2 linked regions of the Saccharomyces cerevisiae S288C genome follow. Changing the gene in region 2 together with the main gene of any one other region gives a genetic interaction. Each region holds a gene or a part of one and is shown on either strand. Other genes may lie near its edges.

What was found. Genes that interact genetically often act in the same process or in processes that back each other up.
Region 1: mutations in TMA64 (region 2) and EFM6 together harm fitness more than expected from each alone (negative genetic interaction), as found in Saccharomyces cerevisiae (one large-scale study listed by BioGRID).

Annotation. Positions count from the first base shown.
Region 1 is NC_001146.8:586,607-590,903, reverse strand, and holds EFM6 (putative protein-lysine N-methyltransferase), read left to right. Parts: upstream 1-3,056; coding exon 3,057-3,797; downstream 3,798-4,297. Other genes in the region: FAP1 (Fap1p), read left to right, coding at 1-2,641; KSH1 (Ksh1p), read left to right, coding at 4,084-4,297. UniProt on the Saccharomyces cerevisiae protein: S-adenosyl-L-methionine-dependent protein-lysine N-methyltransferase that methylates elongation factor 1-alpha (TEF1 and TEF2) at 'Lys-390'.
Region 2 is NC_001136.10:683,446-687,221, reverse strand, and holds TMA64 (Tma64p), read left to right. Parts: upstream 1-1,578; coding exon 1,579-3,276; downstream 3,277-3,776. Other genes in the region: APC4 (anaphase promoting complex subunit 4), read right to left, coding at 1-1,340; mitochondrial 54S ribosomal protein uL1m MRPL1, read left to right, coding at 3,641-3,776.

The DNA of each region.
Region 1 (4,297 bases), on a different chromosome or scaffold from region 2:
ATGTTATAGAGTGTTTGATTACGGATGCATAAGAGAATGGGCGTTAAAATCAACGGAAAAAACCGTAGATAGAATATGGAAATGTCCAAACTGCTATTATGTTAGCAAAAGAGTTCCGGTAAAAAATCGGCCCACATGTTGGTGCGGTAAAGTTGTTAATCCTGATCCGAATCCGCTGGATCCTAACTCATGTGGACAAACCTGCAATGCTTCTACTTGTATGCATGGTTGTTCCAAAATTTGTCATCTAGGGCCGCATCCAGAGTGTACTAGAATGGTCGAGATTATGTGCCACTGTGGTAAGCATTCGAAAAGTATCTTTTGTTACCAGTCTAAAGTTATGAAAAAAAACTTCAACTGTCAAGAAGTATGTGGATTGCCTTTATCTTGCTCCATCCACACCTGTAAAAAGAAATGCCACCCTGGCTTATGTGGGCCATGTCCAGAAATGATAATTAGTAAAGATAGTCCGAAAAAGCAAATAAAATGCTACTGTGGTAACCACACTCGTGCTAACATAAAGTGTAGTGAAACAAAGTTTCCCAAGTCCGGTAAGTCGTCGAAGGATGAAAATGGGAACAGGTGGATAGGCGTGTTTGCCTGTGCAGATAATAGAGTTGTCGACTACTCATGTCGCAAGCATTCATTCATAGAATCTTGCATAAGCCCACCCACAATTAATGGAGAAAAGGCATGCCCATTTTTGCCTAGCTCTTTGAAAACTTGTCCCTGTGGCCGGACAGCCCTAGAGGAACTGACTAAGCCTCGTAAGCATTGTGATGATCCGATACCAACCTGCGACTCAAGATGCGGTAAACCACTAAAATGTGGCAAACATTCGTGCCCCTTCACTTGTCATGATAAAGCCTGTATGGAACCCTGCTTGCAAATTGATAGTGTAAAATGTGCTTGTGAGCAAAGTACATTTTCAGTTCCATGTGGATTTCAAGGAAGGCCTCGCTGCAATATTAAATGCGAATCCCTGATGTCATGCCGTAGACATAGATGCACCGATAGGTGCTGCAGTGGTAGGCCATCGGCGATAAGAAGGAAGAAAAACTTGTTCAGAACGCAAGATTTGTTGGATGAGTCTCTTGTGGAAGCAAAACATATCTGCCTAAAACCGTGTAACTTGACCCTATCATGTGGAATTCATAAATGTCAGAGAAAATGTCACCCAGGAAAGTGTCCGCCCTGTTTAGAGAGTGATTCGAACGATCTGGTCTGCCCATGTGGCAATACAGTTGTTCCTGCACCCGTGCGTTGTGGCACGAAGCTACCTACATGTAATCATCCATGTATTAAAGTTGTGCGTGGCGAATCTACGTGTGGTCATAAACCAATGCCACATACCTGTCATTCCTTGGATGTGTCGTGCCCGCCATGTACGGAAACCGTATTTAAACCTTGTAAATGTGGGAAGAAAACTAAAGTGAGAACGGTTTGTTTTCAAACAGACGTATCATGTGGAATAAAATGTGGGATACCACTCTCTTACTGTTATCATACCTGCCAAAAAACATGTCATTTACCAGGAAATTGCCAAAAGGTGTGTAAACAGACCTGTGGGCAAAAAAGGCTCAATTGTAATCATGAATGTCCTAAACCGTGCCATGGTAAGACAGAGTGTCCCGATTTACCTTGTGCCACGCTAGTGAAAATTTATTGTAAATGTGGAAGGATCAAAAAAAGTGTTACTTGTGGCGCAAAAAGTGATAGAGTAAGTGTAACTGAATCTTCCGTGCTGGATTGCAATGAAGAATGTGAAGCTTTGAAACGACTAAAGGAATTGAAGGAGGCATTTGGAATTAAGGAAGAAACCAATAATTTTACAAGTAATGAACTAGATGCGTTAAAAAAACTGGTCTCTGTTGCTACAACATTTGAAGAACTGCAGTTACCGTTTACAGAGGCAGCATTATCAGTATATTCAAAGCAAGAAAGATGGTGTTCACAAATTGAAGCTATTCTTAATAAATTAATGGACGATAAAACACGTTCAAGCTTGCATTTCAAACCTATGAGGCCTCCTCAACGCCACTTCATCCGTGAACTAGCCAAAGCTTACGGCCTATATTCCGAGTCTCAGGACAGAGAGCCCATGAGATCTGTATTTATTAAGAAAGAAGATAATGGCGCAAGCAATAAACCAGTCTTATCATTAGCAGAAGCTTACCCACTATATGAATCATTTAAACAATTGCAGAAGGAAAGGAAAGCACAAGAATTTCAAGCTCGCACCACAGCTAAACTAATCAACTTCGAGGTTCAAGATACGGAACCTAAAGTAGAGGTGGCTAAGAAAAATGGTTTTTTGGTTCAAAATTTGGTTGCTGGAAATACTGCCGAAGATCTAAGGAGATTTTTTGAACCACATCTCAAGCATACGTTAGTAGTGAATCCTCAATACCTAATCCTTGATGATGGCAAAACAGCACTAGTGTATCCTGAAAATTACGAAACAGCATCCGTGAATACCGAACGTGACATGGAGCTTTTGGTTGGACACTTCGATTTTATGGCCAAAGAGGCATTTTTGGCCGATTCCATTTCGTTGTGTTCAACTGAAGAAGAACTTGAAAGAAGGTTGGATACGCCCGTAATTCAAGAGGATAGTCCTGTAATGGATAATAATACATGAACTATAATAGCGTGTCATTATTTATTACGCGGAATTCTAATTAAATAGAAATATCTAACTTTTATTTTTTTTCATCCTATCTCATTTCTTGTTTCTCCCTGTCGTTGCTAAAATACGAGGATCTGCATATGTTTACATATCAACGTTCCCGTAAACGAATGGAGAATACTGAGTGTCACGTTAATAATACGGATATTATAATTTGGAAACCTAGTCAAGTAAAACCAGAAGAGATTTTTCTTTTCTCTTAAGCTTTTTTGGCTTGACCAAACGAAAAGTCCCTCACACCCAAACACTGAAAGTAATTCTTCGTATTTAAATAATTCAAAAGTTATGATGAGCAGGCTCTATGTAAAAAAATGGCCCATAATTTTCCCTAGAACGTTATAAAAACGCGACTAGTGAGGTATTGAGTATGGAGAGTATATTTGGTGGGTTTGGAGATCTAGTTGTTCCTAGGCCAAAGGAGCATCTCGGTCAAACAGACCTTTCCTTCGGTGGAAAATTATTGCCTGCATTGAAAATTTGTGAAGATGGCGGTGAAAGTGGTTGTGGCGGTAAAGTCTGGATCGCTGGCGAACTGTTGTGCGAGTACATACTCGAGAAATCAGTTGACCATCTGCTAAGTAAGACGGTCAATGGTACGAAACAATTTAAAAAAGTCTTAGAATTGGGTAGTGGTACAGGTTTAGTTGGATTGTGCGTGGGGTTGTTGGAAAAAAACACATTCCACGATGGCACTAAAGTATATGTTACGGACATTGACAAGTTGATACCACTATTGAAAAGAAATATAGAACTGGACGAAGTTCAGTATGAAGTTCTTGCGAGGGAACTTTGGTGGGGTGAGCCGCTGTCGGCAGATTTCTCACCTCAAGAAGGTGCTATGCAAGCAAATAACGTTGATCTAGTTTTGGCAGCTGATTGTGTGTATCTCGAGGAAGCTTTTCCATTACTAGAAAAAACACTACTTGATCTCACTCACTGCATAAACCCACCTGTAATCTTGATGGCTTACAAGAAGAGAAGAAAAGCTGATAAACATTTTTTCAACAAGATTAAAAGAAATTTTGACGTTCTTGAAATTACAGATTTTAGTAAATTTGAACATTATCTTAAGGAAAGAACCCACTTGTTTCAGCTTATCAGGAAGTAACCTGACACAGTGAATTTATCTCTTAATGATCCTGATCTTATTATATTTAGTAATGAACTTTTCGATAGACATTTGTAATTCATGAAAAAACGATATAACATTCATTTTTGTAGTGTGGTGTACGCATGGTGGGACTGCTCTTCTTGAGCGAAATTTTGATCTTCAATAGAGTGAGCAACGACAACTCAAGGATAAAGACAGAACAGCGGTAAACATCGTTTGCAAAATAACTAGAGAGCCGGATCGATTTACTTTGCAAAGTTGCGTCCTTTTTCCACGACAGAATATGTCTGCATTATTTAATTTTCGTTCTCTTCTGCAAGTGATATTGTTACTGATTTGTTCATGTTCTTATGTTCATGGGCAGTGGCCGTCTCTCCTAGATCGTTACAAAAATCATGAGGTTTTGGGGGCCTTCTGGAAAATGGCACGTGTTGGTGAAAGGGCCAGTCCATATGTTAGTTTAGCATGTATTTTGATGGCCATCAGTCAATTTAACA
Region 2 (3,776 bases):
ATTGAGCTAGGTTCCGTACCTTTTTTAGATAAGATTCTGTCAAAGTAACTTAGTAAATCGTATCCAAAGTAAAGATCATCCTCAAATTGAAATTTCAGTTTATAATCTTCATCTAGCGCTTCATGAAGTCTGTCGTTGAACCATATGAAAAACTTCTCAAAAAGTGTTTCGTCCCTCCCCAAGCCTATTATTGAATTTAATGTCATAGTTAACAATTTCTGTGAACTTTTTAGGAGCACTTCAACAGCTGTCAAATCTGACGTATAACTGAGCTTATTCTGTATAGAAAAGGCTTGTAATATTGCCCTTAACTTCTCCACATAAATAATGATTCTTTCACATGCGGGTACAAATATTAAAGTTAAAATCTGAACAGTTTTTTGGTAAGCTTCACAACCTAAATACTTCCACCTTTTAAAGTTCTTCTCACCTACTGAATTGCAAAGCCAGTCTTCCAAGTCACATGAGATCTCTCCAAGTAAAAAGAGGGCTTCTAATTCCGATTTGAGTTTGCCATATCCGTAGGCTTCATCACACAATCTTTTGACGAAATCTAAATAAGGTGTTGCCAGTTCCCGGTTAATGAACTCGAGATGAGTAAGCATATAACCTATAAGCTCTTTTATTACCATTATATAATTCAGCAGGTTCACTGATGATTTGCTCTGTAATAAAGGTCCTAAATTTAAAGTTTGTACAGTTCCATCCTCATAGAAGCACTGGTAAAAGCCATCTTGAACTTTGATAATTGATTTTAAAGAATTTTCGTTTTCAATATTATCCACCGACAAGAAAACAGCGTAATCACCATTAAAAAAAACTGTAATTTTATCATTTCCCTCATTGAATACTACGTGAACGTCTAGTTTTTCATTACTATCTAGATCATCCTCATCAGGACCTCTCCACAAGCTATTCGGTTGAGTGTAAGGGACAATGTTTATCCTTTTGGAGTCCTTTACAAACCTTATTAGCTTTGGTAAATCATCAATGATGTTACATGCAAAATCTCGATTATTTGGTTCGTATCTTAATGGAATTCGGTCCCATATACCTTTTGATATTTTTGTACTCGGAATTCTTAGGAATGAAACTAATCGACCGTCTTTAAAAATGTCATGGATTCTGATCGTCCCATCCTTAAAAAAGATGGACAAAAATTTACCAGTAGTTGTATCCCAATCGTAATTCGCCACCAAGTTTATATTTCTTATTGGAATTACTGCAAGCCTAGCGTGATCCGAGACTCTGTAAATAGCAAGGCCTTTCGCAATTCTTGTAGCAAAGATTGGAAAAAGAGGGTTATAATCAATGAAATAATCATTAATAGGAGACGACATTTCGTCTTGAGTCGTTTACGCGTGTTCAACAGAACCCTAGGTCACGTCTTCTGATAAATCGAATTGAACGCATTCTGTGCTCCATTTTGTTATGCTTGGTTAAACTTAGGCGCTAGCTACGGAAAACAAAAATGTAAACCTAAAAAACCGTGAAATAACACATATGCGTCAAAATTAACACATGAGTCTACTGAATAACCGACTCAATAGATTAGTGTAGCGCAGGATTAGTACAGCTATGTTTAAGAAGGAGCCTCACATAAAAGCTTTAAGTAATTTGAAGAATTCCGAAAGAAAGAAGTTGCTACAAACATTCCAAAAACAAACGAATAATGAGGAATATAGCTTTCGTACTTCCACTATAAAACAAACCAACTTTAACGGCCAGAAAAGTGTAGGAACGGTTTACACAGATGAGAATAATACCCCAATATTATTCAAGGAAAAGCATAAGGAGCAACTTTTTCCAACTGTGTATTCTTGTTGGGAATATCCTGCGTTATTGCCGATCGTTTTAACTCATGGATTTGTTATAGAAGAACATTTATTCAACGGCGCTAACTTAATGATTTCCGGTTCGATCCCACCCTTTGATCCTCGTTGTAAAATAGGTACTCTTTGTGGTATAGCTAGCAAACAGGCACCAGAAACTGTCTTAGCCATCGGTATTGTCGAATTAGATCTACCGTCCTTTGATAAAGTAATTGGTGAAACAGGAGTTGCTGTCAAAATCATACATCATTTCAATGATGGGCTCTCCAAAGTCTTTAAAATGAAATTGGAACCTCCATTTGTTCTCAGTACTCAATCAAAGGATAACAATATCAGTAGTAAACAGATAGAATCCTCGGAGCAAATCAAGGCTGTTGAAAAGGAACAAGAAGATGTAAAAGAAGCGTCTGTTGATGTAGAGGAGATTGCTGAAGTTCTAGACCATTTCACTGTGTCGGATGTAGATTATTTCATTACAAGAGCATTATATTATACCTTGACTCAAGATAAAGGTTTGGAATTACCCATTTCAGCTTCTAACTTCATCTCAAACCACATTATGCGTAATTTGCCTCCAATTGATCACAATGAAGTCAATGTAAAGAAAACTTCATGGAAAAAAAGCGCAAAATTTTTGAAACACTTCGAGAAAGAAGGCTTCTTGAAATTAAAAGGAAAGGGGGATGACTTAACTATTGTGGGCAAAAATACTGACAAGGATGAGTTAAAGAACTTTGTGCCATATAAGCTTGGTTGTAGCAAGTCTGCCACAGAAAGTAGGGAGAGCACAACCTCGAAGGAGAAAACATCTGGAATGATGTATTCACTGACTCTGTATAAACCCTTTAATCTTGCCAAAGATCTTTTGAAGGAGGTTAATTTGGCTTCTCACACGTACTACACCTCTCAGGACATTAGAAGCGCGGTTTCTCAGTATATTTCTGTCAAGAACCTAGCAGACACAAAAGATAAAGGAAAAGTTATTATGGACGATCTATTATTCGATATGGTCAATAAGAAGAAGAAAGTCTTGAATGCTTCACGTATCATTGCTAGAGGTGAAATTTTGCATCCCTTACTCACCAATAATTTTACCGAGTTCTATCAGATATTCAAAAGCGATGATACTCTCTTGTTCAAGGCGCCAATGAAGGGTTCCCTTCCGCATATTAAGATTATTACTGAAATGAAAATTGGCAGAAAAGTTATTACCAGAGTGAGCAATTTTGAAGTGTTTCAAGTCGACCCAGAATCACTTGCGGCTGACTTAAGAAAGATTTGTAGCGGATCGACAACAATAAGTGAATCACAAACATTCAAATGTGCTGAAGTGCAGGTTCAAGGTCCACACGGTCAATCGATCATTGATCACCTTAACAAGCTAGGTATTCCAAGCAAATGGATAGACTTTGAGAACAAGTTGAAGAAGAAAAAAAGAAAGTAGATTTATATCATATAAATGTTTAAATGCGTAAAAATGCCCGACATCAAAGCATATAGAACTTTTTTACCTAATCGAAGCTTTTCTAAAGTAGGTATTATGGTAGTCTTGAAACCCACAAAAAATATGAATGTATCATGGGAGGGAACGAAATGTTTTCAACAGCGGTAAAAATATACTATATTTGTATATCCAGTTCATCTTTACTATTCTCTATTTTTTAGTGTAACTTACATTATGAGACTAGCGACAAAATCTCCTTTTTAAGCGAAAAGAGAAAACTTTCGAAAAACCAAAGTATTTTGAAAAACGACCTGAAATAAAGGGAATTTGAAGAAAACTAAACAGTGATAAGTCATCAAAGAAGATGCTATCCGTAGTAGCGATCCCGAAAATATGTGTCACAGGTCCTGCAAGAAGATGCTTTTTTCATACTGCAAAAAAACTATACGCAGATGACTATAAACCAGCAGCTATGTCCTCCAATGCACCTTCGCTAACAA